Linked DNA regions of Sus scrofa. The protein of the gene in region 2 purifies or fractionates together with the protein of the main gene of each other region. This does not show direct contact. Links are inferred from orthologs where the notes say so. Each region holds a gene or a part of one and is shown on either strand. Other genes may lie near its edges.

The links. The genes of interacting proteins can lie anywhere in the genome.
Region 1: the proteins of PDIK1L (region 2) and CDC37 purify together in Homo sapiens (affinity purification with mass spectrometry; 3 studies listed by BioGRID and IntAct, counting the BioPlex papers as one, with this or other methods). This does not show direct contact. The link is inferred for Sus scrofa from reciprocal best matches to the Homo sapiens genes PDIK1L and CDC37.

Annotation. Positions count from the first base shown.
Region 1 is NC_010444.4:69,209,156-69,215,556, reverse strand, and holds the start of CDC37 (hsp90 co-chaperone Cdc37), read left to right. Parts: upstream 1-2,647; 5' UTR 2,648-2,741; coding exon 2,742-2,843; intron 2,844-6,401. UniProt on the Homo sapiens protein: Co-chaperone that binds to numerous kinases and promotes their interaction with the Hsp90 complex, resulting in stabilization and promotion of their activity. Inhibits HSP90AA1 ATPase activity.
Region 2 is NC_010448.4:83,548,567-83,554,184, reverse strand, and holds part of PDIK1L (serine/threonine-protein kinase PDIK1L), read right to left. Parts: intron 4,932-5,618; coding exon of another isoform or gene 4,923-4,931; exon of another isoform or gene 3,616-4,922; intron 3,610-3,615; coding exon 2,869-3,609; 3' UTR 1-2,868.

The DNA of each region.
Region 1 (6,401 bases), on a different chromosome or scaffold from region 2:
TGGAGCTGAAAGTGAATGAAGGAAGGCAGATACAAACCACAAATCTCAAATCTCATTTAATCCTTTTTTTTTTTTTTTTTAGGGCTGCACTCTTGGCATATGGAGGTTCCCAGGCTAGGGGTCTAACCTGAACTGTTGCTGCCAGCCTACACCACAGCCACTGCAACTCAGGATCTGAGCTGTGTCTGTGACCCACACCACAGCTCACGACAACGCTGGATCCTTAACCCACTGAGCAAGGCCAGGGATCAAACTTGCAACCTCATGGTTCCTAGCTGGATTCATTTCCACTGCGCCAGGACAGGAACTCCAAATCTCATTTAATCTTGACTCCCGCGCCCCAGTCACTCTCTAAGCCTCGTGGAATTTCAGTCTTCACAGTCCGAAATCACGGTAGGCATTTCTGTTTACATATGGATCTTTCTCCCTTACCAGCCTCCAGGGGCAGCAGAACAGGGACCCAGCTGGTTTTGTTGGTTGCTGTAGCCTGACAGCCTGGCCACAGTACCCCGGCACACAGTAGGCACTTGCCAAATATGTGTTAAATGAACTGTGAAATAAATGATGGAGTAACAGCAGACTCGCATGCGTGACCTCCCCAAATCCTAGGTGTGTCATCACCCAGATGAGGAAATCAAGGCTCAGGAAGGCAAAGCTGACTACCCAGTCCTACCACCACAGCTAAGCATTGTCTGGCTGTGGGATGCAGCAGAGAAAGCTTGGGTAGCTTAGAGGAGCATTCCCAGTCCCCCACCCCCATCACACAGGTGTAAGACATACAGCCAGGGAAGCACTGATGTGGGGAGGGCGGTTGGGAGACCCGGGGACGGTGCAAAGCAACTCGGGGATCTCTGTCTCAGTTCCCAGGACTAGAGATGCTGTGTTGGCAGGAGGTTAGGAAACGCTTGGCACTGTTGGGGGAGCTTCCGGCGCCCTGTCCCCAGTTCTGGGAGCTGAGTCTCCTGGGATCCTGTTTCGCTGGGGCCAGGAAGTTCCAGTATCCGCAGCCAGGTAGAGACCCCCGTGTATACCCGGAATCCCCGACATCCGGGGTTCTCCCCACACACCTTCAGCCCAGAAGCCGGCCTGAAGCCCTCAGAGGGCGTACAGGGGGGACTTTGATTTTAATGGGGGGTACCTGACTTTTCTGGGGGACAGGAAAACTCCCTCCGTCTTAGCCCCCTCCCTCTTGGGCGCCAGGTTCCCCTCCCCACCGCAGCTTTTAGCCCAAATCTTACCTTGCAGGGGGACTGGGGAGGGGATGCCCCGCCCTCTCCGGCCTGGGGGGCGGGAGGGGACAGGGGTGTCCAGACCCTTTGTTGTTTGCTGGTGTGTGTGTGTGTGTGTGTGTGTGTGTGTGTGTGCGCGCGCGCGCACGCGCGATTGTCAGACCTGAGGTGTGGGTCCGTGCGCGCGCGAGCCCAGGCCGTGACGGCTGCTGAGATGCTGGACTGCCGGGGCTGGAGAGGGAGGAGGAGGAGAGGGGGACTCCCCCGCCCCCGCCCGCCTCCTTGCCGGTTTGAATGAAGCGTGAGGGGGAGGGGAGGCAGCGGGCAGGAGCTTTGTCAGGACGTGTCCCCTCCCCTTCCCCCGACTGGGGAATCCCCTCCCATCCCCCCTGCGCCCCCATTTAGAGACCTTTACTCCTTTCTCTCCAGCCTTTTCCCTCCAAACGCCCACTCTGGGGGAGTCTGGAAGAGGCGCCCTTCACGCAAGTGGTTGAAGCTTCTCCCATCCCCCACGCCATCGGAGCATCCTTTAATCTGAGATAATCCCGGCCCTAGGCTGCAACGCGGCCTTTTATCCTGGTATCAAAGCGTGGGTAGGGATATATGAAAGTGTGTGGCTGGGGTCGCTCAAGCTCAATGTAAGAGTCCTTAGAGCCCAGGACCAGAAAAGGGGCCCCAGACGAAAGGGGAAGGCCTGCTAGCGGTCCTAGAGCACTACCACCGGGAAAGATTCCCCACTTGGTGTGAGGCCAGAAGCACTGGCCGCTAGTTAGACATTGGTGCCACCCAGCGGCCGCACGGGGAGACGCTGTGGATCGGCTCCCGAGACTAGTTAAATGAAGTCTGGGTGATTCCGAAGGGGGGCGCGCGAATCCCCGTTCAGGAGTGGCAGAAGCGAGGAGGAGGCTGTGGTTCGAGCCGGGGAAACACCAGGCCCCAAGGCAGAGCCACAGCACTCCCATCACCTCCAACCCCTCAAGGGCAGGGCCATATCCTTCCTTCACTTAGACCCTCCCAGGACAGGGTCCTGTACCCCTCGGACTGGGAAGGTCCTTCCATATCAGACAACCTCCCCAACACAGCTAAATCCCCCTTCACAAGGAACCCAGCAGTGGGCTAGGGCTGACGTCACTGCAGCGTGGCTAAGAGGACAATCCTCTCCCTCAGGCTCGCCAACTGCTCACTTACGGCCGCCGTAAAGGCCCACTATGCGGCGGCAGGAGATTAGCGGGGCTCGAGGTTGGAGAACCCACTCATATACCCCCCAGGAAGTGCCCGAAGCAGGATGGGATGAGGTTTGAGGGAGAATCCCAGGAGTTGGGACACGTGCGCAGGGCTCTTTAAGAACTCGGTCGCCAGGGCCGCTGCCAGGGTTACTAAGGATGTGACGTCACGTGCGGGCGGGGGCGTGCGCGCCCAGACGGAAGCGGAAGGGGCGGGGCTCGGCGGTCCGAGTCTCCGTGCTGCCGCTACCGCCGCCAGAGTCGGAGCTGGCTGGGCCGCCAAGGCAAGATGGTGGACTACAGCGTGTGGGATCACATCGAGGTGTCTGACGATGAAGACGAGACGCACCCCAATATCGACACTGCCAGCCTCTTCCGCTGGAGGCACCAGGTAGAGCGCGCGCGGCCAGCCCCTTCCCCCACTCCCGGGTCTCTGCTTCAGAGTTCTGACTTCAGATACTGCTAGGAACCCGGCCATGGACACCTGAGATTCCCACCCTACAGTCTGGACTTTCAGTAGCGCCCAGGGTTCTTCGATTCAACTCCGGGATCCCAGAACTTCCGGGACCCTTGAGTCCCTTGCCTGCTATCCGAGCCTCCCCCTGCCGATTTCTTCTTGGAACTCCCAGTTCACCCCTAGGGCACCTTCTTCAGAGTTTAACTACCAAGACAAGCTTTGGGCTTCCCCCCCAGTTCCGTTTGGGACCTTCCATTTACGCTCCGAATCTTACCTCAGAATCTTGACCCTGATCCTATTCAAGTACCCCCTTGTGATCTTGGACATCCCATGGGCCCCTCCCAATCCCTAGAGTTCCCAGTACTTTAAGTTGTAAGTCTGTTCTTCGATCGGCCTTTCTGGGTCCCAGTGGTGATTCCCGTTTAGATCCAGAAATCCTCTAAATACAACAAGGAATTCTGTCCTTCCTTGAGATTTCTGTTCCTGGCGTGGGACTCCAGCCCACACCCAGGACCCCTTTCCTGGAACTTAAACCAGTGCCCATCAGTATCCTTAGTCCCATCTAGGACTGGCATTTTGAAACCTAGTTCCCTTTCAGATTGAACCACCAGCTCTACCCTTGATGGAGCTTCCAATTCCGGCCACTCTCCTTCAGCCTCACATACTGTAGACCCAGTTTCCCATTATGTCAGGAAATCCTACCCACGTGGCTTCCCCCCAGCTAGAGCCCCTGCCCCTGCTTGGTACTGCAGACCCAGTCACCAAACTCTCCCCCCCACCCAAGACAGGCTTCCTGTAGGAGTCAGCTTTGGAAAGCCTCATTCAAATGCAAGTCCAGGACCCAAACCCACCCCTTCTTCCTTCTGACCCTAGCATGGACTGCTGATCTCAGACACCCAGAGTGACCCTGCTTTTACCAGAAACCCTCCCAGTCTGATTCCAGATTCATTGCCCTACTTTTACTTATTCCCCAAATCCAGACTCCAGGATCCCAAAGTCTGTTCTCTTGCCCTTCTCCCACCCAGCAGTGTTCACAGGCCAGCAAAATAGCCCTCCTAAGATGTAATGTTCTAGCCTCCTGCTCCCCAAAATCAGAGCTCCGGCACCCACATTCCTGTGCCTATGAGACTTTGAAACTCAGGGCATATACCTCTCAGAACCTTCCAGTTAGGAATTCCTCACCCCATTTTTCCGTGTATCAGCTCCCAGTCCTTTTTCTAGAAACTCCTAGAAGGGCTCTTCCCCTTCCTGCCAAGACACAGCATGAGTCCCTACATCTGCTACCCAGTGCTAGTTCCAACCCATTCCTTAAAGCAGCAGTCTCCTGGGTAGTGTCCCTGCTGGGCAAGCCGCTGGAGTGTAAGAAGAAAGTTCTAGCACTTCTCTCTTTCTTGCCATGTGTAACATTTTATCATGAAATATTTAAGATCTCTGCAAAGCTCTGAAGACTATCCTCAGGAACATGGATTACTGTCACATAGTCAATCTATGCCACTGTGTGGTGGATGTTCTGGTCCTGCTGGGCGGCAGGCTAGTGCCCCCTCTCCTACCTCGTCTTCCTCTCACCACGCCCTTCTCCCTCCTGGCCAAAACTCTTTCCTGGCCTGCTACTGAGAGTTCCTGGGCAGCGGTGGAGAGGGTCGGAGGTAGAGAGCCTGGTGTCTCCAGCAGCACCAAGTTCAGTGGCAGGCAAGCCTAGGTTCTTATCCCAGCCCTGCCACAGGACACTGGTGCTTTACTCTAGGGGGAGCAAGACCCCCACCTCCACGAGTCAATCATAGGAAGTGAGTAAGCATTCCAGAGGGAAAGAGGGGATTCTAGAACAAATAGCCTGGAGTGCTTCTGAGCGCAGGCCTGCCCACCTGGGTTCAGATCCTGGCTCCTTCAGAATCACAGACTTACTGCCTGGCAAGTTGTTTTTTCTTTTTCTTTTCTTTTTTTTTTTTCATTTTTGGCCACCCCATGGCATGTGACGTTCCCAGGCCAGAGATCAGATTTGAGTCGCAGTCGTGACCAAAGCTGCAGCTGTGGCACTGGCAGATCCTTGACCCACTGTGCCAGGTCGGGGATTGAACCAGAGTCACAGTGCTCCCAAGATGCCACCTGTCTCGTGCCACAGTGGGAGCCCTCCCAGTGAGTTTGGATTGCTCTGTGCCTTCATTTCCCCAGCAGGGAATCTTCACAGTATCTACCCCATAGGGTTGTTGTGAGGATCACCTTTTGTATTTAATGTGTGTTAACACTCTCAGGACAGCACACGGATGGAATAAGTTCTGTGGAGACTTTAGTTTTTGTCATCGTTTAGGTCATTCACACTCATGGTAAAAAAAAAAAGAACCTCAAGATTCCAGAGGGGACAGGTGAGTCCTCCCAGCTCCAGCTCCCTGCCTCCCTGGCTCCCTTGCCCAGAGACAAATAAGTACTGGTTTCTTGTGGCCCCTTCCAGTGAGCTTATGTGGCATCAAGGTTCTGGGAGCCTCGGTTCCCTTATGTATAAGGCAAGGTGTCAGTGACACCTGTGGCCCCTTCTCACTGCTGGGGCTTCTGCCCTGCCCAGCTGGGTACAGCCCCTCCTAGAGCTGTAAAGCCCATGCCAGGCAGGCTGCCACCCTCACCGCTCCAGGAGTCCTTTATTTAGCTTGGGCCTCCTGGCAGCTGCTCAGAGGATGCCGAGATTTCGATGGCTACCCAGCAGAAACCAGCAGCGTGGTACGTTCCTGCTGTCACCTGAGGCCAACCATAGAGAGCCCCTCATATTGTAGCGGGAAGGCTCCAGGGCGACGCAGGCCCATCATGGAGCAAGAGAGGTGACAGAAGATGCAAGGCATTCCCTGCAAAGCAAGGGCTTTCTCCCATCTTCATCCACATGGGAAAAGCGAGGCTTGTGATTGGCTGGGTTGTTCCTGTGGAGCAATAGAGAAGGGCTCAGGTCTCCCAACTCTCACCCAGCATGGGCCCGGCCCTGTGCTAGGACCTAGAGATCCAACCTCGAATAAAGTACAGAAGCAAGTTAGCAGACCATCCTTGTGGCCTTGGCCGTGACAATGGTGTTAACAGTGGGACGTGTATACTGAGTGCTGTGTTGCAAGTGGTTTCCTTGAAGTAACTCTTTTAGTCCTCGCAACAACTCTGTGAGGCCCCATTTTTTTGGAGGGGGGACACCAAGGCAGGGAGAGGTGTAAGCAGCTTGGCCAAGGTCACAAGCCAGTAAGTGCCAGTATGATGCAGCAGCAACCACTCCCAGTGACCCGCATTTACTCTGGGCTAAGCACTTTGAAGTACATTTTCTTATTTGAGCCCCTGTGTAGTCCCCAGAAAGAGATTGTCTGCCCGGACAGGCAGTAATGACATTAGTCAGCATGGAAATGCTGCTCACCAAGCACAGCTCTGGACTGTCTTCTTTATAACCCATTTTGTTTCTCCCGGTGCAACCCTGTGAGATTGGCACTGTTGTCTGCCTCTGACAGATGAGGAACTGAGGTTCAAGAATTG
Region 2 (5,618 bases):
TCATTTTTGAAGTGCTGATGACTTATTTTTTGACCATTTTGTCATGCTGGTGAATTATTTGTAGCTGCTACAATAGTTTGATTGATAAACATTTTACAGTTAAAAACAACAACAACAACAAAGAGGAAAAAACAGACCAGCAGAAAGAACTATTCAGTGTGCTATTTATCTGACACTTAACACTTAACTTCATCATAATGACAAAGTATCCCTTAGCACCAAAAAACTACAGGAACCCCATCTTTCTAAGTGACAACTAGTGCAAAATAACATTCTAGGAACTAACTGTACAACCCCATTTTTAACTGGCCACAGCTGCCTATAAGCTTATTTGGAATATTTGGTCTTTTTTCAATTAAGACAAATTTCATAAAACACTATAAACCATGGCAAGAGACTCTATGAAGAATAATTGTTTATTGAGTACCTATTATGGGCAAGGCACTGTGCACAAATTCTTGCTTCCATTTTTCCTCTGGCAAATATCCAGGAATTTCTAAGTACCACTAATCATCTTTTATTTCTTGTTCCTGCCGAGAAAAGTTCCGAGGCCACAAGCCATTTTTTAATTGTCATTTTATCAACTGATCCTTAGTGCTGAGCACACAGTAGGTACTTAATAAATTCCTCCTGACTGAAAGAACAAATAAAGACAAAGAATTTACCATCATTCTTCTTGGTATTATAGGCTATTTTAGAATACAAGGACTTGAGAAAATTTCAGAAGAAACTTCCTGGTTACCTCACTTCTTTACTGCCAATGAAAGAAGGAATTCCACTTCACAGGTAAAATAAAGTATTTTTCAAAATAAGTTATAATCATTAACTATTTTAAATGAGGCAGGACCAAAAACTATGTACTTAGGAAACCATGACATGTAGATATTTGAAGAGCATACAAAGCATTGGCATACCATCACCTAAATCATCATAAATCTCTGCTGAAGTGCCATGTTATCGATGAGACATTATAATGAATTCCATAAATTCAATCCTCTTGGCCAGATCTGTATTATACTAATTTGGCAATCCAGAGGGTCAATTATCATGAAGTTCCAGTATATTTCCATCTCTAATTTCCTAAAGAATTCTTATATTTATTAGCTTGAAAGTAATGTTAAAAGGATATGACTTTTTTCATTTAAAAGGTTTTACCCTTTCAGTCCAAATTTTAAACTTCCAGACCAAGTAATGCATAGTTCAGAAATTTTATGTACTCCAATTTTTTGTGCTTTTTCACCTTTTATAGTCCCCTGAACACATTTTAAATAAGAAGATTACGATAGCAATATTCCAAAAGTTGTGGAAGTTCAAAAAGGCTGAGGAGACTATCTGAACTATCAATGATTTCAATATTTCTAATACTTTTTTTTAAACTTTTGACCAAAGACTCTAGTGCTTTATAAAGATTAACCTATATACAATGTTCTTAAATTATTAACAACCTTAAAGGCTAATGTACTGTTTTAGGAAAACTTTCTTCCCTTAGATTTGAACTATCTGCATTTACAGGAAGACAAATTGGAGATAACCATAAGGGGTTACAATCAAACCGACTTCAAGAAAAATAAGTCTACTGGTTCTTGACATAGACCACACCAAGTGATTGTATAAAACTGATAACTTTTCTATTTGAAAGATAATTGATGCCGCAATATTTTACCCATTTGCCAAGCTGTATAGGTATCATCTCCCACTTTAGAAAAAGGTGATCAACATTGAATACAACCATATCACTACCATTCCTGTGTCAAATTAGATGAGAGAAAATAGCATTAGTGCCAAAATGAAAGGAATTCCAGTGATTAAACAAGAGACCATATTAGGGCAGGCAATGTGAGGGTAGAGCTCATTTGGTTTCTTCAACTTTACGCTGAGGCTTAGACAAAATCTTGAAATCAAAAACTAATTTATCATGTACTACAGCTCATCTACAGCAAAGTTTTCAGCAACAGAAGAATCTTGTGTTCAGATTTATATCAGATTGTAGATGCTCAAGTGCAGACATGTCCTAATGCAGTGGTTTAATTGGTTAATTGAATGCTTGGTTACCTAAAGAAAGTATGACTGAATCATCAATGTCCTTGCCAATTTGCTATCACATGACTGCATGGCTAATTCAACTCCTGCAGCTATAGGGCACTGGAGAGCTCATACTTCAGCAGCTTTGGATCACTTAACTTCACTCATGCTTAATGAGATAATTTTAGACTCTCCAAAACGATGCCTTAAAAAAAGCTGTATAATATTACAAAAATAAAAAAAACTTAGTATGATTTCATTAGAGGGAGGAACAGGGTAGGAAGATAAGGGAAGGTTCTTTTATTTTTCATCACTGATTTCACCAGCAAATCTCAAAAACCCAAACCTACATCAAATAATTTAAACAGAAGTGGCATTTTTTTCATATGGAATGCAAAATGCACACATTCACATACTTACATATACATAAATATATACATATATGTTTCCTTTACAAAGCTTCAAAGGTTGCATTACCAGCATGCAAACCTCTTCTTCCATGGAAATTCCTAATACTGACAAGGAATGTCTAAAATACTTAGAGACATTTTCCAGAAAACTGGACTCTTTTCTTCTTGGCTCTTAGAGAATTTTCCTGCCACACTTCTACCAATGATCATTTAAAAAAATTTACACCTACATTGGTAATACACATTTAAAACATATTAACAAAATGGCCAGCTTGGACTTAAGAGAAATGAGGAAAGAAAAAAATTCCATGATAAAATCTAAACCCTTAGAAGGTGGAGTTTAGCTTTTTATATTCTTTTTCAGCCACATTATGTTGCATCACTGTTAAAACAGAAGCAGCATATCATCCAAGATATTTGCAAATAATATAATGTGTCACGTTTCCCAGCTGCTATCTTTAAATGCAATTTGTACTAATCTGAGTTCTAGTTCAAAAGCATCTGGACGATCCTGAGGGTTTGCAGCCAGCATTTCCTTAATCAGTTGTTTCATTCGCCCATTCATAGACTTTTTCTTCACAGGAATGAGAAGTTCCATTTTGGGATTTTCCAGAAGCGCCTCCCCAACAGGTACAATCTCAGTGCCTTGTTTTACATAACTCCCCAAGAGTTCTTTCTTTGTCTCTGTGTCTATGAATGTGATCCTTTCCAGCATTGCCCAGATGATAATCCCCAGAGCAAAGATGTCAGCTTTTGCTGTATAATGTCCCTCCCACACTTCAGGAGCCATGTAGAAATCTGTTCCACATGCTGTGGAAAGGAAACACTTGTTTACACTGACAGGTTCTTCTGGGTTCTGTCCAGATGCTGAACAAACTTTACTTAGACCAAAATCGGCCACTTTCAGTGTAGGTTCCAAGTCACTGGTATCCAATCTGCTTTGAGAAATCAAGATGTTATCAGGCTTGAGATCTCGATGGATGATCTGGTTTTTATGCAAGAAAGCCAGGGCACTGCTCAGCTGAAGCATGAAGCTGGTGTTAGTTTTACGATTGGGTTTCCTAGACAACAGATACTCATTCATATCTCCTCCGTCACAAAAATCCATCACAAACCACAAGTAATAGGCGCTTCGGGGATCAAAGGCAATTTCTCCTTTTAGTGAAGTCTCTACAAGCTATAAGAAGGGGAAAAACAGATTATAATTTCTGCACAGTTTATACCATTCAACTATAGAGAAAGAGTTACTGGTTAAGTTAGTCTCCAATTCGAGGTGGAAATTCCATGTATAACTTATTTGGTCAGTGCTTTCAGATGTGTATTTTATTTTAAACTTTAGCACTTCAATCTATCCCTAACAAATCCACATCAAATCTCCAAGTCAAGAGGTAAAAACTTACTTATAAATAGCTTTATTCTGAAAAGCATCCAACTGGCTATGCATTTTCTGCATGTGTCAGTAGAGCTGAACTCTAACCACCTAGCTAATAGCTTCCTGAAAAGATCAAAGTTTCAGTAGCTAGACCTGGGAGATTGCCAGCTGGAGTATAAACATCAATTTGGAAATTCTATTCCATGAAGCTGCCTGAAATCTACTTCTTGCTATCAGTATAATCTGTGAAATTGAGAAAAAGATGATCAAGAAACTAGTTGTTACAGAAATACAGTACTCCTGTAGCCACTGATAAAAATAAAGATTGATGTCATTACTACATAAACTTCTATAGCAGAATGCAAATATGCTGGCTATCTCTATCATTAGACGGCTTCTAGAAACCAATTTATAAAAACCACATGCATTTTGACATAAGGATTCAAATCTGATTTTGTATTTGTTTGATACAACCTGAAAATCTAATGAACCACTGTTTTACTTGTATCATTATCTAATTATAACTCTATTTGAAATTCAAGAATATTAATTACTTCACTGAACATGAAGTACCATTCTTAAATATAGTGCTTTGAAAGCACTTGTGTGGTATCCTTTTCATTCCCACAGGTTGAACAGAAACCCAGTAGGGAGTGTGAAGAGTTGCTGAAGAGTGAGTGAACTGCTAATTTTATGTTTAAATCAACTAGTATTTCCTTTTGCCATTTTGTGGGGCGAGGCAAAGCACACCTCTCCATACCATCTCCCCCTATGGCAAACTGCCATAATTGCGATAGTCTGCAGATATCTTTTTTGCATGCATTTTCCTTATTGTATGTGTTTGCCCCATTGAGAAAGAAAATGATAGGAGGTCCAGATCACACAATTATTTACCAGGTGCCCTATTACTAAACATGCTGAGATTAAAGACTACTGCCATCACTCTTCTTTCATTTCTTCTCTTCTTCTGTCTTCATTCTCAAAAGCAAACTTCCTAAATAGCTTGGAGCAATGCAGAGTTCCAGCATTCAAATAATGGTTTAGAATTCAGCCAGATAGTAGATATTTCAAGCTTGACAAGTCACATAAGGTCTCTGTTCCATATTCTTCCTTTTTCTTTAACGACTCTTAAAAAAATGTAAAAGCTATTTTTAAATATCCAGGCCATATAAAAACAGACTAAGGGCCATAGTTTGAGGGCCCCTGGTTGAGAGCTTCAGAAATACAGAACCCAATCTACTTATTTTCACGTGTAGAGGGTGTTAACCATTGGTCCTCTTGCCTAAAGTCTGTTAATAGCTTCCCTGTTCCCTTAGGATATAGTCTAAGCTCTTTAACATGGGCTATGGGATTCTGAGTGTTCTGATCACGCTGTTTTTTTTAGCTTCATCTAAAACAACTCTCTCTGTACACTGCAGTCTTATTACCATCTTTGAATTCTTAGAATGCTTCATGCTTTTTTGTTTCTAGACATTTTGTATGTATAGTTCTTCCTGCCTGGGATGTTTTCTCACTCACTCACTTGGCTAACTCTTTTCCCTGCAAGTTTCAGTTGAGACAGTTCATAATTCCCAAACCCCAGGATTATGTCAGTTTCCCTACTGTATGTGTTTATACCATCCCATATTTTTCATTCATTGCGCTCATCACAAGTATACAGACCAGCTACTAAGTTCCTATGCGTAAGATGTGTCCCGTTAATTGTTTGTTTTACATTTCCTCTAGGTGAGGTCTTTAGCTGTCAATGAATGACTGAATGAGAACAAGGAAGATATATAGAAAAACATAGAGAAAAATAAATATTTATTTAGCAA